Ovis aries: one gene and its partners. The protein of the gene in region 3 interacts with the protein of the main gene of each other region in a pairwise test. Links are inferred from orthologs where the notes say so. Each region holds a gene or a part of one and is shown on either strand. Other genes may lie near its edges.

Region 1 (4,340 bases), on a different chromosome or scaffold from region 3:
GAAGAACTGACTTACTTGAAAAGACCCTGATGCTGGGAAAGATTGAAGGTGGGGGGAGAAGGGGATGACAGAGGATGGGATGGTTGGATGGCATCACCAACTCAATGGACATGAGTTTGGGTAGACTACGGGAGTTGGTGATGGTCAGGGAGGCCTGGTGCGCTGCAGTCCATGGGTTGGAAAGAGTCAGACATGACTGAGCAACTGAACCGAACTATGACAGTTAGTTCTACATAATCAATTTTGTGTGATGGCTATGGTAAGCTGAGTTAACTCCATTTTATAGACGACAAAGTTGAGAGAAACTAGCGTTTAAAAATCAAGGTGAGATATCAAGCCAAACTGTGAGGAAGGTAAAGCTTGTCTGCTGCACTTTCTTTCTTGCCTTTCCAGTGCTTTGTCTGCCCACCCCAGTGTCTCCATCAGGTCTACTGCTATGTGCTGCACGCTAAGTCACTTCAGTCGTGTCAGACTCTTCGACCCTATGGACTGTAGCCTGCCAGGCTCCTCTGTCCATGGGATTTTCCTGGCGAGGATACTGGAATGGGTTCCATTCCCTTCTTCAAGGGATCTTCCTGACTCAGGGATCAAATCCACGTCTCTTACATCTCTTGCACTGGCAGGCAGGGGGTTCTTTACCACTACTACAGTGGCAGCTGATCCAGATTTCCTTTTGGTTCCTTTAAGTACTGTGGTCTCAGAATAGCGTTAAACTTAGCTTCCTTTTTTCTTTTTTAGTGAGACACTGTCCCTTAGAAACTAGCTTATTAGATAAACTGATCTCTCCTAAGGTAATATTTCTAATACAAATTTGCAATTTTACAGGGTACTCTGGAAGTATACTTGCAACCACAGAAATGACTGACTTTTCCACTACAGCAAGCCAGAAGAGAACTTAATCTCCTGTTCTCTTTTGGATAGGTGTTCAAATAACAGCCCCACTGGCAGCTGTTATTATTATTACTAATTTATACAAACTGTCTTTTAGCTATGACATATGCTCTTATTTCGTTCTCATAATACCCCAGTGAGAAAAGAAAGACAGTTATTTTAGAGCTCTTTTATAGATAAGGAAACAAACTGAAAGAAGTTACATCTTAATATTAACTAGCAAATGAACAGATCCTAACCCAGGACTCCAAATTCTTCTCTTCATTCAAATCATTTTTCAACATCAGTCCACCTCCTTCATTGGGTATTGAAATTTGAAGCTTTATCATGAATGAATTTGGTTGTAGGTCACTCATTCTGGTTGAAGTTCAGGGTCTTTGAATCTGCTTTACTCTGGATAACCTCAAGCAGTTTATCTGTTGGTAAAATACTGCCCATAAAAGGTGTTACTACAGATTTTCTCATTACCATTTCTAGTGCAGATTAAAGAAATTAGAATTCCAAAATATCCAGTGATTTCTAATAGCCTTAGACCACAAGATCCCCTGGAGAAGGGAAAGGCTGTCCACTCCAGTATTCTGGCCTGGAGAATTCCATGGACTGTATAGTCCATGGGGGTTGCAAAGAGTTGGACATGACTGAGTGACTTTCACTAGACTACATGTTTTTAACCTAAGATGCTTTGAGCAAACAGTATTAAGAATTTGGGGGGACTTCTCTGCTGGTTAAGACTCTGCACTCCCAATGCAAGGGCCTTGGGTTCCATCCCTGGTCAGGGAAGTAGATTCTGCATGCCACAACTAAAGAATCCACACAAAGGTTGCATGGAGGCAACTGAGTCTCAGCACAGCCAAATAAATAAATATTAAAAATAACAAAAGAATCTTTACCTGGGGTTAAGAAGGTTTATACCTGCAGATTGCTGGTTAAAATTCAAAGTTCTCATCTTTTAAGGGAATAGAGCAGATGGCAGACTTGGCCCCCTACCTGGCAGACAGGTGTTCACAAAACACTCGACACTGAAAATCGATCTGTGAAAAAGCTGTTTCTCCTCACTCTGAAGAGCCGTGTGGCAACACTGGAGCCTCAGTAATTTGCTTCTCTGGAGGCTTAACTCTGTTTCTGATCTCCCCACTAAACTCCTGCTGGTTTTAACCATCATCTCTCATGTATTGTATTAAGACGCACTAATAACCAAGACATTGAAGTGACAACAAAACACACCTGACAACACAGCTGATTCACTTGCGTTTTTTGGATTATTCTCTGTAGGACAGCACAGTTTTCCTCGAGTTGAAAGGAAAAAGAAAAAAAAAGAAAAGAAAAGAAAATACCTACTCCCAACAGTTGCTGGAGCATAAGAATAAATTTCTGTACTTTTCATTAGAAATAGCGTAACGTAAATGCCCTCCAAGAAATTTTTACAACAACCTCTTTGGTTAAAAGACTTTTCAACGCCTCGGTTTCGAGCATTTTCCGTGAGGACCCAGAGGACTTGGTGGGCCAGGCTCACCTGTACGGGTCAGGACAGGGTTCGCATTTCCCAGCCCGCGCCTCACCACCGGGGGTCGCCGATCAGCCTCCAATTGCACCCGGCGCCCAGCCCCACCCCACTGCCCTCCCCTGCATTACCGGCGCCCGCGCCAGCCGTGCCGCCGCCTCTTTCTCTTCTTCTTCTTCCTCCTCTTCCTCCATGGCCGCCGCCGCCGCCGACAGGGAATTCAAAGGGTCTTTGCGTTCGTACTGGGCGACCCGCGCTCCGGTGTTGGGATTGACCGGGGTTTGGAGACTTCTGGCCGCCAACTTCGCCGCTCGGTGCGAAGCAGCCATCACCGCGCCGCCGAGGCCTGAGCGCCCGCGCTGGCCCGGGGCGGGGAAGCCGGCGTGGCCGCAGGCGCCCGATTGCTCTTTGCTTAGGGTGGTGGTTACTAGGGGCCCGGTAACTAGGGACGCTACAGGGGCCGCGAGGGGCCAAAAATCACTTAAAACCGGCGCCCGCCGCGGGGCCCCTTGGATAGTGGGAGTCAGTATTGAGTCTTTGCTGGTTTAGAGGATTGGTCGGGGGAATAGGGCACCTGGTCCCTCTTCTTCGCATTTCACCCCCTAAATGCAGACTTCTCACATTACACTAATGAAACGATTTGTGCTGTGGGGCTTTTTATTCATTGAAATAATATGTTTGGAGGAGGTGGCGGCGGCAGAAGAAAGCAGGGCGTGTTATCGTGTCGCGGTCTCGGGACAATGGTAACGTTTGCATCCCGCGACCTAACATGGCTCTCCAGCGAGCCGGAGAATGGGAAGCCGTGAGTTACTTTCTACCCTGACTTGAAAGCTAACGGAAGTCGACCAATCTGGAGGAAGGTGGAGCCTGGTCCACCCACCAGTGACTGAGAGTGCAGGTGTGTGTGACCCGAACGTTTGCTGCTTGGGTTCCTCCGCTTTATAGTGGTGGGGATCGGAAGGTGTAAACGCCCACCAGTAGCCACAAACAAGCCTCATCTCCACCTCACCCCCAACAACGTCTCCCACTTGGGATTTGGGCGCTTCAGATGACGCCTTGCCGCTACACCAAGCGCCTGTAAAAGAAGCCTAGCCTTAAAATATCAGGCGTGGTGGTGGTGCTGCTGCTGATGATGCTAAGTCGCTTCGTGGTGCAGTGTCAGCCAAACCCCTACTTCCTGAGGCTGAGGCCCCAGCCACCCCCCACTCCTGGCCCTACAACCTGCTGTCACCACCACAAAGTTAGGGTACGCAACGCGCAATATCCAGACCCCTTCTCTGAAGTCTGAACCAAGTATTTCTTCCATCAGGAATGTAAACACTTGCGAAACACCCTACTCCCTCACCTTTCTGCAGGCTGCTCTTTGTTTTGGCTGAGGATTTGCTTTGACCACTGGAACAGACACCGGCTGGATTCTTAGCCAAAGCTAGAGTTGGAAGCCCATGAGGTATGGACGCTGCAAATGACCACAGAAGGGACGTCCAGGCGTTTGCATGCAGCGAGTTCTGTGGCTGCACGTAACCCTCTTGTGATTTGACCCCGACCCCAAATCAGCATGCTGAAACACTGAAAATAGAACATTAGAAGAGAGTGGAAAAGAAGCAGTAAGTGTGGAGGACATATTGTATGTGTATGTAGAAGAGCAAAAAAGCTTCCACTCGTGAGCAATATTCTAAATTTGCAGTTATCTTTTAAACTGTTTTTACTGAAAAATAGTTGATTTACAATGTTGTGTTAGTTTATGTACAGCAAAGTGATTCAGTTATATATACATAAATTTGCAGATATCTAATAATATAGCCTCAAAATATATAGAGCAGAAATGGACAGATCTACAAGAAGAAAATGACAAATCTTATCATCGTAGGAAGAATTATTTTTGCACCTTTGTATTGAAATATATACAGTGCAATGAATAGATCTTAAATGTGTAGTTGGATGCCTTTTG
Region 2 (4,270 bases), on a different chromosome or scaffold from region 3:
GGAGTGGGGGGAGCAGTAGGACCTACTAATGGGGCACGTGACCCTTCTGCGTGGCGTTGTAGTGCTCCTGGGCTTGCCGTTGCTGCTCCAGCACCTGTGCCAGGACTTGCAGCGAGCGAGAATGCCGCCGGGGGGCCCTCTTGGCAGTGCGGGCATTGTGCATAATGAAGTCCACACCCAGACCTGGGGCCTGCGGGACATGGCCAGCATGATGAAACAGCACTGTGTGGTGCCCCGGAATCCCTGCCCCACCTCCCAGCCCCCACATATCCTCTCACCTTAGCATTGGGACCTGGTAGGGTTAGCTGGGGACTGGGGACACGGGGTGGTGGGAGCCCGGGGCCGCAACGGGAATGGGCCCGCAGAAAGTGGGCTGGCTCAGTTCTAGAGGCAGGGCCGGGCTCCTGGAGGCCAAGGCAGAGCGGGGGGTGGTCAGTCAGGCTGAAGTCAGGGTCTCAAGCTGTAAGACCATGCCTCTGTCCCTCCTGTCTTTCAGGATCTTTCTCTATCACCAGTCCTCTGGACCTGGCCTCCTTCCTCTTGAATAAGTACTTCCATCACATCAGCATTTAAACCTGTGTGTTTTTCACATCTCTCAGAAAACATATTTCCCTCCCTCTACCTCAGTCCTGGCTTCAGTCATCGTTCTCTTTTTCTCTCCTTCCTAGTCAAGCTTTCTGGCTCTGTCCCTACCAAGGCCACCAACAGCTGGTCTCCAAGCCCCCAAATCCAGGGTCACTTCCCTGGTTTCACTATCCTCAGCCTCGTCCTCAATAGCTCCTGGGTCTCACTTCTGAGATCCAGACCTGATTCTCCATCTGCCTCTTGGACACATTCCCACTCCCTGGAAGCCCCACAAAAGCTTCAGCTTCAACACACCCACATATGACCTTGTCTTTTTTTCTGTCCTACTTCTCCTTCTCAGACCCCTGGAAAGAGAAGTGGCACCACTAGCTACCCCAGATAGAATCTTACCACCATACATACCCCTGCCCTTCCCATTGTCCTTAGAAATAAAGGTTTAAAAAAATGGATTTATGTGGCCCTTTATGATGTGGGTCCAGCTGACTTCTTAGCCTAACCTCATGTTCTTCCTCCCTCATAGTGAACTGAACACAGCATCCCCACTGCCCACACTCCTAAGTCCCTGGTGTTAGGACCAGGGACCCTGGAACCACAAGGTTCCATTTCTATAAAATGTTCTCCTCTATTCTCCCCTTGCCTAATTCCGACTTGCCCCTCAGAATCACCCAGCTGTCATCACTTCAGAGAAAGGCCACAGCCCCACTCTGCAGCAGGACCAGCTCTTCATCCCCTGTGACCTCAGCCCACTGTGGGTTTCCTCCCTCCTCATAACTCAAGTCAGAGTATAATGTCCTGTTGGCCAACAAGACGGGCAACACTTGGGGCTCCCTGAGGCAGGTACCTGCAGCTGAGCCTTGACACGCGACTCCACTTTGTCATACTTGGGTGAGCGCCACAGGGCCTTCAGGGGCCTGGATTGGGCCTGCTCCTGGCTGTGCTCCTGCTCACGGAAGCGCCTCTGGATTTCCCTGATCCGCCTCATGTTCTCCTTCTCATGGTCTTTAGGGTCCTTCCCTGGAGAAAAGATGTTGCCCTACATACAGCCCATACAATCCAACTTACCCCAGTGGACACACAAGCCCACACCCTGCCTCCCTGACATACTCTAAAGTCCACCACATAACCTTGTTCTCGTCCTCACACCATAATTATCTTCTGTTTCTGATGATTTTATACATATTTGATTATGAAGTATACTAGTAATCACCTTGCATATCCTATTCACCTCTTCACTTGTTTTACTGTCTCCCACCTTGATTCAATGATGCGCTTCTTCGACCTTGTTCTCCTAGCACCCATAGGGCCTGGAGCACAGCAGACACTCAACAACCAACCATGCATAAATCCATGAAGCTGAGCTACGGGCTTTTCCGGGGTATGCCTCATTTAGTCCTCTCCTGCGAAGAAGTCGTGCATTTCCCGCTCCTTCTACAGTTGGGGAAACAGACACTCTGAGAGGTAAAGCCTGAGCCCAGAGCAGGGAAGGGGAAGCAGCCGTCTTTTTATCTGTTTTGACTTCAGAGCCGCCTCGCTGTCCGTTCTGACCAGAACTTACTCTTGGGAGAGGCCCCTGGGCCTAGGGAGATACCCCCGAGCTGCAGCAGCACACCACCCACGCCGCGACGGCCACGCTCCAGGATTTCTAGGCCTCCCGGACGGATGCGAGGGGCGCGGGGAGGGGTGGCGTCTAGGTCCGGGTCCGTATCCGTCGTCAGCAGGTCCAACTTCGGCGCGTTTCCCTCAAGGCGCCCTTGGGCTGAGAGGCCAGACGGGGCAGAGTGCGGAGTCAGTGGTGGAGCTGGGCCCGACCCTTGCCAGGCCGCTTTCACTCCCTAACTCACCCGAAGACGGCCTCCGGTAGTAGTCCGGACAGAGCGTAGGGTCTGGGGGGATGGGCCCCGAGATGCGGGACGGACCCTCACACATACCGCCGCCGCCGTCCTGCAAACGTTGCACCTGAGGCCTGCCGGGCTACGCGTCTCTGGCTCCAAACCCGGCTTCTCAGCCCAGTGCCTCCTCCCTGGCCCCGGGTCCTAACCTCAGCCGTGCCCTGCCTGCGTTCCCGGCCCCCACCCCGCCTCCCGGCCCCGGCCTGCGCTCGCCACCTCTGCTCTCAGCCCACCTCTCAGTACCGTTGGCAGGCTTCTCACTCGGGCAAGGGGCTCACCAGAGCGGTTTTGCCGCCCACTGCCGCCACCCGACGGGTTTGCTGTTGCCAGGCAACAATGGTTTCCGTCCGTGAGGTCAGGGGCCAATGGCCTTGGCGCAAAGCCTTCTGGGGCCTGTAGTTCCAGCTGAGGGGGGAGCAGAACGACTGTCAGTTGCCCTTCCCAATCCGGTCCTCTCCCGGGTCCGCTCAGGGTCTACTAGTCTGGCCCCTCAGGATCCGCCCTCCATCCCCAATGCCCCTCAAGCAACCGTCGAGGAAGTGCTGATCCGCCGCAGCTATGGACTCCGCAGGGGCTGAGAAGCGGCCAGGGGCCCAAGAAGGGGCAGCCGTGGGGCAGTCACAGCTTACAGAGATGCCTGGTGGCCATGCTCAGAATTCTGAGGTGACCATCGGGCTGTCTAACCTTCAAACACTTGGGTCATAGCGCTTTAATAGACCAAAACTGCCAGGCCAGGTTCCACAGGCTGGGAGGGGCATGGGCTGGTGCCCTTCATCCAGAGTATTTAGAGTCTAATGGCTGGTCCCTGTATCCTTTACCTGGCCATGGTGACCAGTTACCTGTGTGTCACCGCTAGTGTCCAGTGATGGGAGACCAGGGCCTGGTGCCAGCCCATGAGGCCTGCCAAACCCAGGATGAAGATAAATGTCCAATAAGATCCACCTCAGAGCCAAAGATCCAGGAGAGACTCAAGCTGGAGGAAGACAGGCACAAACCAGAGGTGGAGGCCCTGGAGGAGAGAGGTCCCAGGCCTACGGCCTCCACTGTGAGGCCCAGTCATGGTCCGAAGAGGAAGCCGGTCAAGTGAGGGGGCTTTCAGAGGGAAGAGACTGGGAACTGGGGAGGTGGTGTGGGGGTGGCTCATACCCCAGTTGGATTCTTAAATGGGGCCTTACAGTAGTGTCCATCCTTATCCCCTGACACCACCATCATTCCTCACCTCTGCTGACCCTCCAGAGCCCTGATGTAGGGAACATGCAGAGCAAAAGTCTCAAGGCCTGGTAGGGGACTGAACTCCCATGATCTCTGGGTCCCTGTCCAGTCCAGGGCCTCACTGACCAGGAAAAGGACAAGGATCACGGCCTGGGGAGGTAGGCAGGCAGGACTGTTCCCTAGGACAGGGCACAGGAGCCAAGGCTGCAGGCTGGCTCCTCAGGCCTCCTTGTTCCCCAGCCTCACAGGCCCGAGCCACCAAGCCCATCCTAGGGCAGAGAGTGAGTTGCCACAGGGGCTGTCGCTGCAGAGGGAAGAGCCGGAGAATAATCAGAATGAGCCCTCACCATCTGCCAAACAGCACAAAAAGACCAAGAAGCGCAAGAGTCTGGGAACCCCAGTGCTCCCAGTGGTGGCCAGCACGGTGTCGGCACCCTCAGTGACCTTGGGGCCTGAGCGTGAGTGGCATTTCCTGAGCCTTCCCTTTTGTCCCAGCCAGCTGGACCCAACACAGCCCAGCTTGGCACTCCAGTCATTGCCCTGCCCTGGGTTCTTGTAGGAAAGGCCCAGCGCCTGCGGCCCCT
Region 3 (4,191 bases):
TACTGGAAATTTCTCAAAGTAAACCAGATGCAGATTTTTGTCTTAAGTAATTGAAACACAAGCCTCGGAATGCTCCTTAGACACTTTAAAGGTGCCTTCCCTTGGTTCTTTGGTCTAAGTAAGGGTGAACCTATAAACCCCACTCTCCAGATGACTCAGAACAAAATCTATTTTCTCCTAAAACTGTCAAATGTTTCTGGTGTGAAGTTTATAAATTCATCTTGACTGATCCTTCTCCACTTTCTGTGTTTTATGTCGGGAGAGCCAGAGGCTCTTTGTGCTGAAGGATAGAGGCCCAAGCAGCGGCAGCCTGGCTGGAGCAGGAGCCTGGTTACTGGACTCACGCTGACACACAGTCCGCTGAGTCAGAATCCTGGGCTCTTGAACGTCTCTGCGCAGCTTCCATTCACACAGAGCCAACAGTCACGCTGGACCAATACTGGAAGGGCACGTGGGAAGTTTTAAACCTGTAGGTATCAGGTGATGTAACTTTTCCCTTTAATTTTGATGTCCATTCTTGCTGTTTAAGAAGTAATTTCAGAAAATCCATTAATTCATTAACAATTCCCTTTTCCAAAGGAGGCCCAATGAAAGCATAGACTACTGTGAATGAAAGCAGTTTTAGGCGCTCTCTTAAAATAAATCACTGACGTCTGTGGGTGGGCTGGTGAGAAGTAGTTTGAGAGGCTAGAGCAACAAACATCCAGGCACTTCTAGGGAAACAAGAAAACAATCTGCAAGTGGAAATAAAGTCAAGAGCAGGATCACCAGGTGAGTATGTTTCACACTCAGGTCAACACCTTTCATGGTGTTTTGTTCACACTTTCTTTTCCTAACAAGCCTCTTTGATAACAAGTGGCCATGCCTACCTCCAGTGTGCTGGGCCCAGGGAATACGTAGGTAGAAAAGACAGCCTAGACTGGTAAGTTCCTTAATTCCAGATGCCCCAGAAACTATACCCAAGAAGGAAACATTGGCGCAGAATAAGCCAGCGGCAAAATGAGACTGCCTCACCTATTCAGGGGACAGACTTGAATGCACTTGATGAGTGGGCTGAGCCCCTCTGCACTCTGGGGCCCTTAAGCTAGGGACTCCCCAGACCCCCAAGACAGGATCTGAATAACAGCAGACTCTGATAATATGACCTTCTAAAATTCTACAGGCTGGCTTCATGGGCTGGCCCTGCAACTTCTGTAGGGCTTTGAGTCTCTGTAAAATGGGAATAACTACTGGACTGTTGTGAGAACTGCAGGCAATACTATACAAGGCACAAAGCAAGCATTCAATAAATTATACCTTATTGGTCTTATAAAAGATATTCTGATTCCCAAAGTTTTACAAGAAAATATGATCCTTCACTAAACAATATTTTTCAGCTACTGCCCAACCAGGGTTTCCTGGCCCTCACCCAACAATTCACAAGTGTTTCTCAGAAGATCTAAGGACAAGAAAAAGGAATTAGGGATGCATCTTCATCTATTTCTGGAAATTTCCACTCTGGGGCCTTTTGCCTTCTTCTCTATCTCCCTGGTTCATTCTTTCAATCATCATTTATTGAAAAGTCTCTATTCAAGACACTAGTGCAGAAGAAAATACAAATATGAAAAGTCTTTGTCTCCAGGGAGCTTTCAATACAAGAGCAAACAAGAAATCAGTGCTCTCTAAGCAGAATCCCTGTAACATAATTTCCCTAGGAATTCAGTCCATTACTTTGAAGACTAGTTAACCTAATCAACAGATTCTTCTTTATTGTTTCTCAACTGCTGTTCTCTCAGATACTTGCTCAGCATCCTCACTACCAATCCCAGAGGTGAAACAATCCTTTACCTTAACACCAGGCTGAGGGAAGAAATACACACTGGGACCTGCATGTCCCTTTGCCCTCCAATCTTCAGAGCCCCCAGAGAACCCTTTCACATGTTTGTTTTGCTGCTGAACCCATTTTTCACGGGGACCACTCACTGCTCTTTTCAGATGGCCCACTCACCCATCCCCTCCTCTGCAGTGATTGCTGTCTCTTCCTTAATGAAAATCAAGGCCACCTGAAACATTACTCAGGTCTACTCTTCATTCATTCAACAACACTTATCAGAGCATAGTGGGAGCCTGCACTGTGCAGACGTGGGAGCTGCTACAGTGAGAACCAAGCAGCAGTGGTCCTTGACTTCACAGACCTCAGCCTACTATTAAGCTGCGAGGGAGCCATGCTCCCTCCAACTCTTTGCTACCCCATGGGCTGCAGCCCGCCAGGCTCCTCTGTCCATGGGATTCTCCAGGAAAGAATACTGGAGTGGGCTGTGGTGCTTCCTCCAGGGGATCTTCCCAACACAGGTCTCCCTCATTGCTGGCAGATTCTTTACGGCTGAACCACCGAGGAAACCCTATTATGCTGTACATTCAACAAAGATTACACGAATATTTGCACAACTTGAACAGAACTGAGAATTCCAGGTGTTGCAAGCCTTAGGATAGTTTTTCTTAGGAAATGACATTTGACGAACAATCTCAATCTCAACGGAAGTTAACTAAGGGAAGAGGCAGGGAGGAGCGTCCAGGCAAAGGGAAGAGCATCTGCAGAGGCCCTGGGCTGAAGGACTTCACATCATTCGAGGATCTATCTAAACGAAGCCAGGGGAGACTGGGCCAACATCATACACGGGGCCTCATGCCCATCCTAACGAGTTTTGATCTTTCTAGGAGTAATCAGAAGCCATACAGAGCTTCAAGGAGACAATGCTAGGATCGTTTTTACCTGCCCCGTGGCTTCAGAGCATGCAAGGTCTGGTTTTGCCCACTCGGTTCACTCCCGCGTCCAGCCAGCGCCCGCTGTCAGCTGGTTCTTACGGAGGCGTCTCGGGAAGGAGTAAGAGTGCAAAGCCTGCCGCGCGGACCGCGGGCGGGGCTGGTCGCCGCGCGGGGGAGGGGCGGGCGGCGGTCGGCGCTGGGCACCTCGGGGACCTAAAGCGCGACAAACAGTCGGCGCGCCCGGAGCTCTCGCTTCCACGGAGGCTGCGTCTGGTTCTCGGTGAAGGGCCTAGGAGGTCCAGTCGGCGGAACCCACCGGTCTCTGGGCCCTGAGCCCCCAGAGGCCCACGGCGCCCAGGTGAGCCTCGCTGCCCAGGTGGGGCGGCGCGGCCGGCCCGGAAGGCCCTGTGCGCAGCGCCCGGCGCCCCCGCCGCGGTGCGAGCGGCCGCCATCTCCCGGCTGCGGCGACGGCGGCGACGGCGGCGGCGGGCGTGCTGGGCAGTGGGCGGTGTCCTGGCGGCGGTGCGACCCCGCGGTGAGGCCTAGGCCCGCGCGGGAGGTGGGGAGGGGTCTCCGGGCGTCTCCCAGAGACCCGGCCGGGCGGCGGTTTGCTCCTGCCCGGCCAGGCCCTGGAACCCGCGGCTCCGGCCTCTGCCTGACTATCAATTCATTTTGTCGCAGTCGGAAAAGTGGAGCAGACGTCACCGGGAAGCTCCCGGGGAGCACCGGGCTCGCATTAAGGTGTCTTTCCTTCCAGTGCCCTTTTCCCTGCAAAAATGAGCCGGCTGTATTTTTGCAGAACTCGGATCACAAAGTGCTGCAGCCTGGCTTCTTTGTCTTACCAATACATCCCCCGCGTCTGCGCGCGGCTGATGTTTGTCTCCATCGTTTTTATTGGCCGCGAACGGGTGCTTTGGTGCCAGGTTTTCCGCGCCTGACCGGGCTCCAAGCTTGCTGAGTGACAGGACTGTGATTCACTCCGCGGATTATCTTCACGATGGTGAACAAACAGGTGGTTTTTGGTTCTTACCTATTACAAAAAACGATTCGTTGAACACTGTTTCGTCTGGTTTTTTGGTTGTGTAGAGAGGCTTGCGGTACTCATTGCAAAATGCTCCTTGGAAAAGTTATTCGCGTCTTTTGTGCCTCACATTTGGGAACACCTGGCTCAGAGAGCTAACTGACAGACTTTGCCAGAGGTCCCGGTGCTGATCCTGCGGACACCGTCAACACCTCTTTGTTAAGTTTGTTCAATAGCTGGCCTTACCTAGAGCTTTGCTGAAAAGAAACTGAATACCTTAGTAATTTTTAAAACCGACTTAGGTTTAGCTTGGATAAACCATTATAGTCCCCAGTACGATTAAACCTAAGTTAAAGCAAAATTCAAGCTGGGATTAGATAAATAGTGGAAACGTTTTAAAGTCCTACTCTGAAACATGGATGTTG
Region 4 (4,277 bases), on a different chromosome or scaffold from region 3:
GAGGATGAGATGCAACAGAGTAGACAACTGAAAAAAAGGGCAGGGGGAATATTGGGTCATTTGTCCTGTTATTCTTACCCTACCCATCCATAGTCCAACAGAGGCCTCCAGCATCTTCAACAGGGTCATCGCATCAGACCCATCTTTAACTTTCCGGCCTCTCCTCTACTCCCCAGTAAAAGACCCTTTCTGGTACTCCTTTGCTTTGCAAATGCCTTCAACTTTGGAAAAGCCCTTCCTTACATTTTGTCCTCACCTTTCAGCAGCTTTTCTGCCAATTCCAACATGGCAGCTGAGCTGTCCACGCACATATACTCACGTAGGCTCTGACCCCAAGTACTATGAGCAGCCCTAAAGTGGCAAAAAATAAATCTTCAGTTCTTACGACAAAGTTATTCCTACAAGAGACCCCTCTGTCCCTAACCCAACCTTGAGGAAACAGAGCGCTATGTTAAAATAGTTGGAAAAACTAGCAATCTTATTTTCTTGTTTCATCTACAACTGTTAAGAAGACTCAAAAACTATATGAACACACACACAAAAATCTTGCTGACATGTAAATCCCTGTCCGAGATCAAATTCCTTTCCTTTTTTATCCTTCTAAATGTGGGTTTTTTCACTTGACATTTCTTTAAGTTCTGACCCTAATTTATATACCTTCTCATGCCTTGTCTAATCTGAGGGAAGAAACACATCAGTTCCAATTTTCTCTTCTTCCTTTGGTTCTCCAGTGTCTTGATATTGACGTGGCATAAGCTAGCTCTAACTCTCTAGAGTTGGAACTGACAGAGACAGAGAAAGATACTCACCAGGTGACAGAGCCAGTACCCGAGCCAAAGTCCATCAAGGTTTGTGGCTGGAAGTCTGGAAGGCGAGCTTGGATCTGAAGAAATATTCAATACCCCACAGTGGGGAAGACAGACACTTATTTAGGGTCTTGGTAAACATGAATTAGGGGACCGCAACAGAGGAAATGAGCTGTGAATGTCAAGATTCAGTGTAAATGCCTTATAGAATAGAAAGGTCTTAGAACAGTGATTCTAAACCTTTTTTTGGGTCAAAAATTCCTTTCAGAGGATAAAGACAACCTCTCGAAAAAAATGCACATGTAATGTCCCAAGAATCTTGCCCCAGATTACTTTATGAAAAAGGGAACTGATAGTAAAGTTTCTGGTTGGAAGTTGAGGGAATTTCACCTCATGGAAAGCTCTGGAAACTGCTGCAAAGCCACCATCCAGTCTTGCTGCCATATACACCAGGCTCAGTCCCTCATTGTAGCTGCCAGAAAAATCAGACATACCACTGGGAATTAATCTCTATCCTGCAGCTACCCTCCAGACTTTTAGGAAATGAAATCTTTGCAAAGGGCTCTTCCAGCTCAACCCTTTCACTGATCAACACAGACAAGTCTTAGGGAGGCTTATAAACCAGATTGCCTTTTCACACACTAAATGGTGTAATTGTATTTCCCCAACTCTCCTTCTCAAAAGCCAAACTTTTCCTTCTTCTGCAGCCCTTCTAGTCTCCCTTACCTCAATTCTTGCCAATGATAGGTAGTTCTGCGCAAGGCACGCAGGACTTCTTCATGATGTTTCTCTGTCTGACATGAGTCTGGGGTAAGAACAAGCACTGGAAGTAAGGACCTAGGAAGAACAGGGCTCAGATACAATATCTGAATTTACTGCCTGCCATTCCCTACCAATTCCCACATGGAAAATGCTTAAGAGAGAAGCCAAACTAGAGAAGAGTTTCAGGTAAGAATAATAATGACCACCACCACCATAGTATATCAGATAATATATTGCCTCTAACAGCAATTCATTCAATTCAACCAACTCTATCTCACAGGTTTTGTTCTGTATTAAAAGCAAGTGTAATAAAAAGTTAAAGGATAGGATAGACAGTACTTTGTAGATTTCTTCACTTCCCCCCAATTTAATAATGTGATGTCTCCAAAGTTCCTATAGGAAGGAAAGGGGCTTGAAAAACTTGTCTTACAATTGTGTTCACTTCAGTACTATTTTACCTACGGAGTGCCTACTACAAACCAGGTACTACAAGAAGTCAGGGAATAACTCATTGATCTTTACTAAAGCCCTGAATTTAATAGGCAATCTCTGAAATTACTTTTCTTCTTTTAGAAAGGCAACATTATGAATAACTACTCTGATTAGAAAGTCAAATAAGAAATCGCAGTATCTATTTAAGAGGCTGCAGAATTATTACTAGCTCTTCATTTCCCTCTGCTCTTTCTATTTGGCTTACTCTTTATTTTTGAAAAGACCTACCTGCGTTTTCCAGGATTTTTTTCTCAAGAAGAACAGCCCGTCTTTGTAGCTCCTCTGGCTCTACAGGTAAATGCCGGCTCCAGAGATAATTGGTTAGGGCTTGCACCTGTTTCTCCATATTGGGCATCGAGCTCTCTATGGACCAAAGATGCAAAGAGGAATCACTTGTACGCAGGGTCCAATCTTCGCTTCTTGAGCTTCCATTTCCCATCTTTACTCACCTAGCAGCAGTAACTGCGCGGCTTCAGCCAATCCTTGCGGCAGCCGCACGCATGACAGCTGCAGGATGCCAGGGTGCCGGCGATGGGGCCTCTTCCCCAGGAAATCGGACTTGTTATCCACGTGGGATACGCCGGGCACGAGGGCAGCAAGCGCCTGCAGAAAAAGGAAAGCTAATAGGGGGCACAGAGGATGGCTGCGGGAGGCTAAAGGAGGAGCTGCCGAAAGCGCACCTCCTCGGAGAGGAGCTGTTCTTGAGGTCCAAAGCTTCTTTTGAAAGCAGGGAAAATAGGTACTCACTCGGAACTGGGGCGCTATTCCAAAGCTGCGGCGCCATCTGCCTATTGTCAGCAGATACCGCGACCCTCTAACGGTCGCCATGGCGCCAGCGGTGAACCGGAACCGGAAATTTAGGTGCAGTGTCTGTCACTCTCACTAGCTGCAGCGAACATCCTGCGCGAACATTGGCGCCGGGCAGTAACAGCCAATGCGGAGAGCGAGTGCTTGCTAGTAGCCAATAAACAATCGATCTGTAAATCGCCTTGGAGGCCGTTTGTGCACCTCAATTCCAGCGTAGCTAGCCGGAAGCTAGGTGACTTCCACCCTGCGTTGTGATTTGTCTCCGCCTCCAGAAATTGGAGGGGCGGGGTTAGGTAGGTATGGGCTGACCCTATGCTGGGTTCGCCAGAAACGCGTCACAGGACGGCGAAGGATTTGTGTTTGTATTAACTACCAGTGTTCTTTCTTTCACCTTCTGGAGAACACTGAAGTCTTAGAGTTTTTACCTCCTGTGTGAAATGGAGTAAAGTATAGTCGCTCAGTCGTGTCCGACTCTTTGCGACCCCATGGACTGTAGCCTACCAGGCTCCTCCCTCCATGGGATTCTCCAGGCAAGAGTACTGGAGTGGGTTGCCATTTCCTTCTCCAGGAGAGACTGCAGTAATGGGAAGATGATCAAGGGAAGCCAGATTTAGGCGACCAAATTGATGGAATAATAGATAATAGATTTAATGTTTCTTACTTGTTAGTTTCTCTTAATATTAAACCAGTACTTTTAAGCCAGGTAAATAGCTACCATGAGAACCTTATGTGACAGGTAGTGTGGCAAGCGCTGTTATATGGTACTACCTTATTTAGTCCCCATACTTCTAAAGGATAGATTTTGCACCCAAGGAAAGTGAAAGTTCAGGTGGCTAAATATTCCGCTTGAGATCCAAGAGCTTGTTAGGTGAGAACAAGTTCTAAACCTTGGCAATCTAAGTCTGATCTTCACCTTTAAACATATGCTCTGCTGGTAGTATTGGTACATAGAATGCAAGTTAGCAAGTGCCAATTTGTCAAGTGCTGATGACAAATTGGTACTTTCTATCTGGGGGCTTCCCTGGTAGCTCAGTTGGTAAAGAATCTGCCTGCAATGCAGGAGACCTGGGCTCGATTCCTGGGTTGGGAAGATACCTTGGAGAAGGGAATGGCAACCCACTCCAGTATTCTTGCCTGGAGAATCCCATGGACAGAGAAGCCTGGGAGGCTACTGTCCATGGGGTTGCAAGAGTCAGACACGACTTAGCAACTAAACCACCACCGCCATCTACATCTATGAGGATTAAATGATGACCTGCTGTAGCTGCTGACCTGTAGCATCCTCTGAAAGGATTTCAGGGTGGAGATCAGGAATGAGGCACTTTGTGCTCTGGGAAAAACTGCCAGAAAAGTCCATTTATTTTCAGGAGATTATTTTTATGAGCCCAATTTTTGCATTTTCTCATATCT
Region 5 (3,621 bases), on a different chromosome or scaffold from region 3:
CTTTTTTACAGATTCCTTGCTCTCTGATTCAGAATCACATGGAGAACTTTCTGATGATTTGTATGAATCGTTCTTCTTTTTCTTTCTCTTTTTTCCTTGTTTCTTTTCCTCATCTTCGGAATCTGGAGAACTGCTTGAAGAATCAGTGCTTGATGAAGAAGAAGATGAAGACCGACAAGATTTCTTCTTTTTCTTTTTCTTTCTGTCTCTTTTTTTGGATAAGCTCTCATTTCCACTTAATAATTTCTCTCTGCTTTTTTCTAGTTCCTTCTTCCAGTTCTCATTCATTTTTTCTTCAAATTCAGCTAATGCCTTGGAGCCTTTCTTTTTATTTTCTAATTGTTTCTTCACTTCTTCCCAGGTAGGCCTTGGTCGATTCAGATAATCTTGTATTGTTGGGCCTGCAGATTGAGATGGGCCCCTCCATCTGGCCATTGCTATAGGATTCATATAGGCCACCCGATTGTCCCGCTTACCCATGGTGCCTGATGGTTCCCAGAGCAGACTCTCAGTTGCTAAAGAGAATAAAGATAGACACCCTCCTTAAATTCTTCATCTGCTGGTATACCAAGAAGGTTCCATTCTGTGAGAGAAGCAGATGGAATGATTACAAAACGCCTTTAATATAAGACAAAGTAAGCACATAAGTTTAATTGTTCATTGTTTATCACATAGTATGGTAAAAAGATTTACAAAATCTTAGAGTTTCAGAAAAAAATAATATATACACAAAATTTTTACATGCTTTAGACATTGTGGTATAAATATAAAATAAATTGTTTTTCATATCTCATGTAGGGTTCTATTATCTAAATTTTAAATAACTTTATTTTTATATTATATGGTACTTACCTTTTTTCTTTCTTTCATTCTGCCTTATATGGTATAATGAAAGAGAAATTTCTGTAGCCAAATAATATACCAGGCAGACCTTCCTCATTTTAGTAGAGTGCAACACAATCCATTCCTTTCTTTGACAGAAACCTAGGAGTCATGCCTGAAAATCCTTCTCCCTCAATTCACATATCCAATTCATTAATAAATTTTGCTGCTTAAACCCCCACAACAAGAGGTCTCATGTTTGTTCACTTCTCTTCAAATATGCTGTCATCAAAATAGTGCAGGTACTGTCACCTGTCGTTGGATTATTAATCTCTATTAGATGCCAGGGACTGCTCAGTGTTGTGCAGTGGATAATCTTATTCAGTCTCTAGACTAATCTAGAGGTTAGTCATAGATCAACGTTCTATGAAGATGATCCCGTTATTATCCTATGATACAAATGAAAAAACTGAAGCTTAGAGAGTTTGAGTAACTTGCATAAAGTGACATAATAAATGGCAAATGGTAAAACCAGGATTTAAATCAAGGCAGCATGAGGGCAAACCCTGCACACTTAGCACAACATTATATTGCCTCTTGATATCAACTTCTTGACAGCCCTATTTTTTGCCCTTATTCTCTTCCCTTTCAGTACCACACTGAAATCAGAAGGATTTTAAGATAATCTAGTCGCTTTATACTTCAATGAAAATCAATCCAAATTCCTATAAAGATCCAATACAATCTGTCCTACTTATAGCTCTTACATTTCAACAGTTTTCTCAATTCTATCTTTTTCAGTTTTCTCTTGGTTTCTGAAACATGCTAAGCTTCAAGCTTAGCCACCTTAGCCAGTTTTAGCTCATCTTCAGATCTAAGTTTAAAGTCAGTTCCTCAGAAAGGCAACTATTAGGTTGAACTATATAAAATCACCAATTACGTGGAACAAAAATACTCAAATACTAGCAATTTCACATGGGTCAACCTTATACTATGTTGCTTCTGTATCTATCCCTTACACTCATTATTCTGTATAACAGTTTCTTGCCTCTTTTATTCATAGCACTTAAAAAACTGATGATTATTTTCTTTATCTATTTGAATGTGTATTTGTGTGTGTGTATGTGTGTGTGTGATGCATGTGTGTTCACGTGCATATGCATATGTATATTCACTTCTAAATATAAGGCCAAGAAGGGTAAAGGTCACATTTGGCCTGTCTTCTAGCCATGATGTTCCCAGTACTTTACATGGCATCTGGTCCACACTAAGTACTCAATAAATATTTCTCAATAATAAACAAACAAATGAGTGGATTGATGGATGGGTAACTCTGTGAGAGAGGTGTGTTCAGAGAAGGCTCCTGAAGTTGGTGATGTCAGTACAAGGTTTTAAACAATAAATAGGAGTTCACTGAAGAAATGAGGAACTGAAGGACATTCTAGGCAGAAGAAACAATACATGGCTTCTGCACAACAAAGGAAACTCTAAGCAAGGTGAAAAGATAGCCTTCATAATGGGACAAAATAATAGCAAATGAAGCAATGGATAAATAATTAATCTCAAAAATATACAACCAACCCCTGCAGCTCAATTCCAAAAAAATAAACGACCCAATCAAAAAATGGGCCAAAGACCTAAACAGACATTTCTCTAAAGAAGACATACAGATGGCTAACACATGAAAAGATGTTCAGCATCACTCATTATCAGAGAAATGCAAATCAAAACCACAGTGAGGTACAATTTCACACCAGTCAGAACGGCTGCGATCCAAAAGTCTACAAGCAGTACATGCTGGAGAGGGTATGGAGAAAAGGGAACCCTCTTACACTGTTGGTGGGAATGCAAACTAGTACAGCCACTATGGAGAACAGTGTGGAGATTCCTTAAAAAACTGGAAATAGAACTGCCTTATGACCCAGCATCCCACTGCTGGGTATACACACTGAGGAAACCAGAATAGAAAGAGACACGTGTACCCCAATGTTCATCGCAGCACTGTTTATAATAGCCAGGACATGGAAACAACCTAGATGTCTATCAGCAGATGAATGGATAAGAAAGCTGTGGTATATATCCACAATGAAGTATTACTCAGCCATTAAAAAGAATACATTTGAATCAGTTCTAATGAGTTGGATGAAAGTAGAACCTATTATACAGAGTGAAGTAAGCCAGAAAGAAGAACACTAATACAGTATACTAACACATATATATGGAATTTAGAAAGATGGTAACGATAACTGTATATGCAAGACAGCAAAAGAGACACAGATGTATAGAAGAGTCTTTTGGACTCTGTGGGAGAGGGAAAGGGTGGGATGATTTGGGAGAATGGCATTGAAACATGTATAATATTATATAAGAAACGAATCACCAGACCAGGTTCGGTGCATGATACAGGATGCTTGGGGCTGGTGCACTAGGATGACCCAGAGGGATGGTACGGGGAGGGAGGTGGGAGGGGGTTTCAGGATAGGGAACACGTGTACACCTGTGGCAGATTCATGGTGATGTATGGCAAAACCAATACAATATTGTAAAGATATTAGCCCCCAATTAAAATAAATAAATTTGAATTAAAAATAAATAAAGTGAAAACTTGGAAAAATTTTAAAAAATAAAATTTGGATTTACCTGGAAAAAAAAAAAACGTGAAAAAAAAAAGAGAGACTTGAGAGATCACCGTATTTAGTGTTGATGGAGCCTAAAGTGAAAGAGGGCAGTAGCAGGAGGTAAGGCTGCATAGGAAGTAAATAGCCTGATCATAGAGGCCTTCTTAGGTCATTTTAACAT
Region 6 (3,621 bases), on a different chromosome or scaffold from region 3:
CCCAGGACTGCGTATACACGGCTCTTACTCCCATGATCAAGTTAAAATTAAACTATGGCCCAGATGACCCCACGAAAGGGGGATTGCCCAGAACGGGCCTGACCTATCACCTGAGTCCCTTAAGCTGGGTCTAGAGTCCGACACGGAGGGAGTCTTTTTTTTTTTTTTTTAATTATATGATTTTTACTTAGTGACGGAGCCAGGCTGGAAGTCCAGGCCACCTGGTTCCAGTATTGACTAGCCACATGGTCTCGGGCAATCTCTTCCCTTTCTCCAAGCCTCAGTGTTCTGAGCCATGAAGTGGGTGCAGCCAAGGGACCAGGTGTTGTGGATCCAGGGCCTGGGGTTGAGGGTTCCTTCCCTTGCCCATGGTGACGCCCCAAGGTCAGGCAGGCCATGCAGGGTGGCAGAGGGGGTTGAGTTGCAGCGCCCTCAGCCGCACGTCCGTGCCCCGGTCCCTACCAGGTGCTGGAGAACAGAACTAAGGACTCCAAGCTGGAGATGGAGGTCCTGGAGAACCTGCAGGAGCTCAAAGACCTGAACCAGCGGCAGGCCCATGTGGACTTTGAGGCCATGCTGCGGCAGCACCGCCTGTCAGAGGAGGAGCGGCAGAGGCAGGAGCAGGAGGAGGATGAGCGGGAGACGGCGTGAGTGGGACACTGGGGCCAGAGGGGGCCGGGGTGCCCACCCACCTCCCAGCCTTTGCAGTGCCCTTCCCTCTGCGTGGAATCCCGCTTCCCGATCTTTGCATGGCTCCCATCTTAGGGAGGCCTTCCCCATATCCCACTCCCCACCTTGTTTTCTCTCTCGTGGCATCTGTGTCAGGGTCCCCAGGATCACCCCCAGGTTCAGTGCTTAATTAGAATGAAAAATTACAGGGAAAAATCAACAGCAGGAAAAGGCATGGGGCAGGGCTGGGGGATTGGGCACAAAATTTCAGAGTCTTCTGCCTGTCATGAGATGGGCTTAATTCCCCCAAAAATAGACGTGATGGCGTGAATGAGGTGTAGTCCCTGGGGAGGCCTAGCCTGGGGTTCTCATTGGGGGCCAGTCACACAGGTGCCTGCCCAACTTGGCCGAGCCCCCAGACTCCAGGAGGAGAGTGCACCCCTTGTTTGCCCAGATAGTGTTGGGGCAGGGAGCTTCCCATCAGTAGCAGGAGCCCCAGAGTCCAGGGCCAGTTGCCCCTGAGGGCTGGCCTGGTAAGCCAGCCTTTCCGAGGCTTTGGCCTCAGGCCTGCTGTGTCTGTTCATGCTTCTGCAGGGCACCTCCCACTTTCTGGAACCTTCTTGCTGATTCACCCCTTTCCTGATATGTCTTCTGTCCTTCCTCACCTAAAATCTGAACAGGGACTCGGTTTGGCTTCTGCATGCAGGGCCTGGAAGGGAGTTGGGCACAGAGTAGGTGGACAGCCAGTGCTGTTGGGTTGGCAGGTCAGTGAGACCGGGATTAGCAGTGAGAGAAGTCTGCGTTCACTGAGCCCGTTTTGGATATGGGCACTGTTCTGAGTTTGAGTTTGGATCCACCATTATGGTGGTCGAGGGAACTGGGGTGTAAGGAACCATACACACAGCCCTGCCTAAGGTCCCCCAGCTGGGGTTCAAATCAAGGCAGGCTGGTTCCAGCCTCCAAGTGCTTAACCACCCCACTGGGTTCAGTGGACAAAGAACTGTTTTTTTAAGATATTTGTTCACCCCCATCCCGTACTTAGTGAAGCTAGGAAAGGAAAGCCAGGTGCCTCATTGTGTGGGGGGTCCTGGTCACTGTTCCCCCAATAAAACATGTCCCCAGGTTCCATGTTCCTTCCTGCAGGGCGCTAGTGGAGGAATCAAGGAAAAGAAGACTCCTTGAAGACTCTGACTCAGAGGAGGACACCACCCCCACCCAGCCCCAGCCAGCCCTCCGGCCCAACCCCACTGCCATCCTGGACGAGGTGAGTGGGGCCACCTGGATTCCCACGTGCTCTCAGGTGGAGCAGGGACAGGGTAAGCCAGGCTTGGCTTAACTTTATCTCGAAAGGCCACAGACAGCCCAGGCCATAGTGCTCAACACCACTGTTGTAGCACTAAACAGCCGTGGATTGTGTACAAATAAGTAGGCATGGCCATGTGCCAGGAAAACTTTATTTACAAAGACGGGTTGCAGCCCTCCAGGACTGTGAGGTTTTCTTTTTATTTCTATGATTTTTTTATTGGAGTATAATCACTTTACAGTGTTGTGTTAACTTCTGCTGCACAACAGCGTGAATCAGCTATGTGTATACGTGTATCCCCTCACTCCCATCCCACCCCTCTAGGTCATCACACAGCACCAAGATGAGCTCCCTGTGTTGCACAGCAGCTTCCCACTAGCTATCCATTTTACACATGGTAGTGTGTATACGTCAGTGCCTCTCTCCCAATTCGACCCACTCTCTCCTTTGCCCTACTTGTGCCCACTAGTCCGTTCTCTATGTCTGCCACTCTGTTCCTGCCCTGCAAATCCAGGGCTGTAGTTTTCCACCCCTTCTCCAGCTGCAGAAACAAGGAGACTCGCTGGATTTAGAGACCTCAGGCAGATGTTGATTTCTCAGGCACTTAACAGTCCTGGGCTGGACTCCGGGGCAGCCCTGTTCCATGCAGTCATTTCAGGGATCCAGGGCTCCTCGCTTCTCCTAGTTCTGCCCTGTCCTGGAGTATGGCTGCCAGCTCTGTGGTCGCAGCTGGCTCAGAGCACCCTGGGGTTCTGGCTGCGGGAAGGCGGAGGGGGTGTGGAGGAGTACCTGCCAGTGCCTGGAGGCCCAGGTTCAGATGCCACCCACACCCACTCCCCTGGAATGTGGAGTCCCAGTGGCTGGACATAGTCATGTGGCCGCCTTGAACTGCAAGGGAGGCTGGGAGCTGCCCGTCCTATTATTAGCAGAAGGAAAAAGAGGGTTGTGGGGGTGAGGGGTAGGAGATTGTCTGGCATTTTTCACCACAGCTGTCTTATCCAAGGTGATTGAGGCCACTCTGGTTAATCGAAGGAGGGGCTTAAAATGGGAAATGGTAAATAATGCAGAGATCCTAGAAACTTTATTATAACTCAAAACATGTTCCCGGTCTGTATTAGTTAAATACCAGTCCAGCCACTGGACAGGACCCAAAGTAACAGCAGTCTCAACTGCATAGAAGTTACTTTTCTATCAAATAACAGTTGTACATGGCCGTGCTGAACAGGGAATATGGACCCTGGTGTCCGGGGCATCCTCCACCTCATTGTCCTGCCATCCCCAGGATGATGCCCTCAATGCAGGGCAGCTCACACTGGCCAGTGGGAAGGGCTGGGGACGGGGGAGGACATTAAGGGTAACAATACCTTTGGTTGAGCAGATCCTTCTGCTCACACCCCATTGGTCAGAACTGAACCACCTGCCCACATCCTGATGCAGAGGGGTCTGGGAAATGTAGTCTTTCACAGGGGCAGCCATGTTCAAGCCATGAATTCTGAAGAGGATGGGTTTGGGGGTCATGCACTCTCACTTGTCAACCTTTTGATGTAGAACCAAGATATTTTCTTTGAGGCTGCATCCCCTGATCAGAGTTCTCTCTCTGTCTTTCTTGCATAATCCACCCTCAGAATTCACCTAAAATTTCCTCTTTA
Region 7 (4,151 bases), on a different chromosome or scaffold from region 3:
TTGGACTGCAAGGAGATCCAACCAGTCCATTCTGAAGGAGATCAGCCCTGGGATTTCTTTTGGAAGGAATGATGCTAAAGCTGAAGCTCCAGTACTTTGGCCACCTCATGTGAAGAGCTGACTCATTGGAAAAGACTCTGATGCTGGGAGGGATTGGGGGCAGGAGGAGAAGGGGACGACAGAGGATGAGATGGCTGGATGGCATCACGGACTTGATGGACATGAGTCTGAGTGAACGCCAGGAGATGGTGATGGACAGGGAAGCCTGGCGTGCTGTGATTCATGGGGTTGCAAAGAGTCGGACACGACTGAGCGACTGAACTGACCTGTGCTCTATAATTTTAATGTAATTTCATTAAAAGCTGTTCTCAGGCTGATTCTAAAATCATATGGAAGAACAGGAGGTCAAAAAGAGCCAAGACAATTCTGAAGAACAAGGTGAGGTAAAAGACCTTAACAGACACCTTGCCAAAGAAGATATACAGATGGCAAATAAGTATGTGAAAAGATGGTCCACATTTTGTGTCTTCGTGCATGCTCTGTGGCTTAGTCGTGTCCGACTCTGCGACCCCATGGACTGTAGCCCGCCAGGCTCCTCTGTCCATGGGGATTCTCCAGGCAAGAATACTGGAGTGAGCTGCCATTTCCTCCTCCAGGGCCTCTTCCTCACCAAGGGATCAAACCTTTGTTTTCTTCATTGGCAGTAATTTTTTTAAACCACTGAGCCACCTGGGAAGCCCTTATATGTCTTCAGGGAATGCAAATTAAAAAAAAAAAAACAACAATGAGATGTTGCTACACACAGAATGGCCAAAATCTAGAGCTCTGACAATACCAAATGCTGGTAAGAATGTGGAGCAACAGGAACTCTGATTTATTGTGGGTGGGAGTGCAAAATGGCACAACCACTTTGGAAGATGGTTTGGTGGTTTCATACAAAACTAAGCATACTCTTACCATATGATCTCATTTCCGCTCTTTGGTATTTATACAAAGGAGCAAAACACAAAAACCCGCACATGGATATCGATTGTAGCTTTGTTCATAATTGCCAAAACTTGTAAGCAACCAAGCTGTCCTTCACAGAGGTGAATGGATAAGTAAACTATGGTACATCCAGATGATGGAATATTACTCAGCAACAACAAAACAAAAAGAGCTATCAAGCCATGAAAATACATGCAGGAAACTTAAAATGCATATTACTAAGTGAAAATACTGTGTGATACCATAATGATGGATATATATCCCGATACATTTGTTCAAATCCATAGAATGTACATCAGAGTGAATCTTAATGCAAACTACGGACTGAATGATAAATGATGTGTCAACGTAGATTCACACTACCCTAGTAGAAATTTTTACACAAGTGCACTAAAGAGACATATTTAAGCACTATTTGTAAAAGGGAAAAAAGTAACAAAATGACAACTAAATGTCCCTCAACAGGGATCAAACTGTGGTTTAATTATACAATGGAACTTATAAGCAGGTAAAGGGGCTTCCCTGGTGGCTCAGAGGTTAAGAATCCACCTGCCAATGAAGGAGACACCAGTTCTATCCCTGGGTAGGGAAGATCCCCTGGAGAAGGAAATGGTAACCCACTCCAGTAATCTTGCCTGGGAAATCCCAAGGACAGAGGAACCTGGTGGGTTACAGTCCCATGGAGTCCCAGAGTCAGACAGGACTTAGCGACGAAACAAGCAGTTAAAGTGAATGAATGAGATCTTCAGGTATCCAAAGGACACTTACCAAAGTCATGCTGACTTAAGGAAAAAACAACAACAAAAGGCAGAATGCACAAAGATAGATACTGTATATTTAAAAGATAAAAAGAACTGACATTATTTTCCAAATACTTTACTGAAAAAACTCAGACTTTCAGTCTGACTCCCCAAACAAGTACAGTTTTCCTTCGTCCATCTGCACTCATTAGAATCCTACCCATCCTTTAAAGATCAAGTTAAATATTCCAATCTGAAGAGATTATTCCTTCTCTGTCCTCCCAAAGCATTTCGTTTATATCACCTATGTGACAGGTTTTATAGGTGGGAAAGACCATAAATTTGTTCAGAATGTGCCTCTTTTTTGCATGTCTCACATCTACAGACTATGAGTTCCTTACACCACTGTTTTACACCATTTTGTATTCAATGTAACAAATACAGTCACTGCGATGGCTGAAAGGGATAAAAAGTTTTAAGATAGAGTTCTTGCCTCAAATAGGTTATTGATTTACGATGTAGTAGACGGAGGTGGACAAGTAATTACAATCATACGAGTTATAAAAGCACCATAAACAGACAATGGACAACAAAATGTATGCTACACAAAGCCATGCAAATAGCAGGCATTCACTATATTAGCTTAACTTATTGGTGGACGAGAGAGCACACAGGTTCTACTAAGGAGATGAGTTCTAAGTAGCAACGCGATCGGATCCGAGTTTGACGGGGAAGTCGAAGAAATAGGGGCAGGGTCTTAAGGATCTCTGGGGATAAGGTGGTGGACCCGGGGTAAGTTTGGAATATCCTGACGAAAGAGATAAGATCCGACTGGAAAACCGCTCAACACAGTACCTTTCTCATTGCGAACCGGGACGGCCCCAGCCGTTGACTGAATGGGCGGTTGTTTCATGAGTGAGCTTGGGACCGACATGTTGACGACAGCGGCGGTGACTCCCGAAACTCGACTGATTTCAAAGTGAACAGCTACAACGTCAACGAACAGATAAAACCCTCTCCTCCTAGGACCACTTGAAACTGCTCCGCGACTGATAGAAACACCACCTTCGACTGAGCTAGAAAAACCGGAAGTATACGACCAGAGGATTGTGGGATTGTGGAGGACTTCTAGACGCCTACGACTAGAAGGTGGAGTCTGTTACTGCGCATGTCCATAGGCTGCCCCGGTGTTCTCAGTCTCGCAGTGCTTGTACGCGTCTTCCCCGCGGGAAGTTGGTTCCACTGGGATTTGCTGTTAAGACCCTGCGACGAGGGAAGTCTCAAGTAAAGGTTTTGTTCGTTAGGTTGGTCTAAACCCGACTATTACAGGGTAGTGATGAATAATGAAACTCAGGAGATAATGAACTGCAGTTTGTAAAGATTGTCAAATTTGAAAGCTCAGAGTTTAATCGGAATAGAAATCCCGTTAACAGCACTTGATTAGCTCAGTTGATGAGGCTGAGCGGATTGTGGTGAGGTATTTTTTGGTCACTTGAGGGCAAGTGGTGGTAATTTAGGCCAGTGGCAAGAAAAAAAAAATCCCCCAAGCAGCTTAGAATAGTGTCTGAGATCCGAACACTATTAAGCGTTCCAGTTCTGTCCGTTTCTGGAGACTGCCTATTATAACATATTCCTGGCTGGAGTGTTTGTATATGAGTCCGTAAGTAATTATTAAGCACTGGTGTTTACATCACTTAGATCTCTCTAAGGAGTATGGAATATTGTTAAAAGGCTCGTGTCCTCCAGGAACTTGAATTTTATTTAGTAAGTCTTAATGGGAGGCCCGGAGAAGGCAATGCCACCCCACTCCAGTACTCTTTGCCTGGAAAATCCCATGGATGGAGAAGCCTGGTAGGCTGCAGTCCATGGGGTCGCACAGAGTCGGACACGACTGAAGTGACTTAGCAACAGCAGCAGCAATGGGAGGCCTGGCGTGCTGCAATTCATGGGGTCGCAAACAGTCGGATACGACTGAGCGACTGAACTGAACCGAAAGGGTTTATAATAGAATAGGAACAAATAGCCCCCATTTTCTAGGTGGATCGTGTTTAAAAACAAAAACAAAAAACAGGCTAGTTGGCAGAACGCTGTAGAAAAGATTTTATAACTGCTGTGTACGGAGAGAAGGGACAATGTGAGCAAAGTCTTGAAGTCCAGAAATATGGCATATATCAGGCGCTGTGAAAAGTGATTTTATCAGTAATTTTTGAGTCCAGGAGTGAAAAATTGCTGAAGGGAACTTTCCTGAAGGTACTGTTAGTAGCATTACTTCTCAAGTGGTTTCACCTGTTCTACAGTTGGGCCTCAGCTGGGAGAAGAAATAAAATTGGGCAAGTCTCAATCAAAGAACAGTGCAGGACACAAGTTTTGAGCTACGAAGGACTGTAAAAATAGAGTTGATAGAAATTTGTATTGTAAATTTAT

The links.
Region 1: the proteins of CEP70 (region 3) and FAM161A interact in binary tests that used the Homo sapiens proteins (3 or more experiments, as listed by UniProt). The two-hybrid records come from large-scale screens. The link is inferred for Ovis aries from reciprocal best matches to the Homo sapiens genes CEP70 and FAM161A.
Region 2: the proteins of CEP70 (region 3) and ENKD1 interact in binary tests that used the Homo sapiens proteins (3 or more experiments, as listed by UniProt). The link is inferred for Ovis aries from reciprocal best matches to the Homo sapiens genes CEP70 and ENKD1.
Region 4: the proteins of CEP70 (region 3) and METTL17 interact in binary tests that used the Homo sapiens proteins (3 or more experiments, as listed by UniProt). The link is inferred for Ovis aries from reciprocal best matches to the Homo sapiens genes CEP70 and METTL17.
Region 5: the proteins of CEP70 (region 3) and FAM133A interact in binary tests that used the Homo sapiens proteins (3 or more experiments, as listed by UniProt). The two-hybrid records come from large-scale screens. The link is inferred for Ovis aries from reciprocal best matches to the Homo sapiens genes CEP70 and FAM133A.
Region 6: the proteins of CEP70 (region 3) and YJU2 interact in a two-hybrid assay, tested with the Homo sapiens proteins (2 studies listed by BioGRID and IntAct). The two-hybrid records come from large-scale screens. The link is inferred for Ovis aries from reciprocal best matches to the Homo sapiens genes CEP70 and YJU2.
Region 7: the proteins of CEP70 (region 3) and MFAP1 interact in binary tests that used the Homo sapiens proteins (3 or more experiments, as listed by UniProt). The two-hybrid records come from large-scale screens. The link is inferred for Ovis aries from reciprocal best matches to the Homo sapiens genes CEP70 and MFAP1.

The regions. Positions count from the first base shown.
Region 1 is NC_056056.1:46,300,704-46,305,043, reverse strand, and holds the start of FAM161A (protein FAM161A), read right to left. Parts: upstream 2,807-4,340; 5' UTR 2,722-2,806; coding exon 2,524-2,721; exon of another isoform or gene 2,517-2,523; intron 1-2,516. UniProt on the Homo sapiens protein: Involved in ciliogenesis.
Region 2 is NC_056067.1:34,775,521-34,779,790, forward strand, and holds the start of ENKD1 (enkurin domain-containing protein 1), read right to left. Parts: upstream 2,813-4,270; 5' UTR 2,753-2,812; exon of another isoform or gene 2,708-2,752; intron 2,527-2,707; 5' UTR 2,512-2,526; coding exon 2,427-2,511; intron 2,342-2,426; coding exon 2,141-2,341; intron 1,600-2,140; coding exon 1,427-1,599; intron 405-1,426; coding exon 279-404; intron 191-278; coding exon 27-190; intron 1-26. Other genes in the region: C14H16orf86 (uncharacterized protein C16orf86 homolog), read left to right, coding at 3,033-3,137, 3,331-3,557, 3,897-4,144, 4,246-4,270. UniProt on the Homo sapiens protein: Microtubule-binding protein which regulates microtubule organization and stability. Promotes the stability of astral microtubules and facilitates the proper orientation of the mitotic spindle.
Region 3 is NC_056054.1:251,159,106-251,163,296, reverse strand, and holds the start of CEP70 (centrosomal protein of 70 kDa), read right to left. Parts: upstream 2,843-4,191; 5' UTR 2,753-2,842; exon of another isoform or gene 2,554-2,752; intron 1-2,553.
Region 4 is NC_056060.1:24,452,181-24,456,457, forward strand, and holds the start of METTL17 (methyltransferase-like protein 17, mitochondrial), read right to left. Parts: upstream 2,920-4,277; 5' UTR 2,889-2,919; coding exon 2,808-2,888; intron 2,664-2,807; coding exon 2,510-2,663; intron 2,424-2,509; coding exon 2,289-2,423; intron 1,612-2,288; coding exon 1,533-1,611; intron 1,279-1,532; coding exon 1,197-1,278; intron 884-1,196; coding exon 810-883; intron 352-809; coding exon 257-351; intron 1-256. UniProt on the Homo sapiens protein: Mitochondrial ribosome (mitoribosome) assembly factor. Binds at the interface of the head and body domains of the mitochondrial small ribosomal subunit (mt-SSU), occluding the mRNA channel and preventing compaction of the head domain towards the body.
Region 5 is NC_056080.1:140,852,943-140,856,563, forward strand, and holds part of FAM133A (protein FAM133A), read right to left. Parts: intron 584-3,621; 5' UTR 481-583; coding exon 1-480.
Region 6 is NC_056058.1:17,612,618-17,616,238, reverse strand, and holds part of YJU2 (splicing factor YJU2), read left to right. Parts: intron 1-465; coding exon 466-647; intron 648-1,812; coding exon 1,813-1,933; intron 1,934-3,621.
Region 7 is NC_056071.1:53,265,322-53,269,472, forward strand, and holds the start of MFAP1 (microfibrillar-associated protein 1), read right to left. Parts: upstream 2,801-4,151; 5' UTR 2,662-2,800; coding exon 2,583-2,661; intron 1-2,582. UniProt on the Homo sapiens protein: Involved in pre-mRNA splicing as a component of the spliceosome.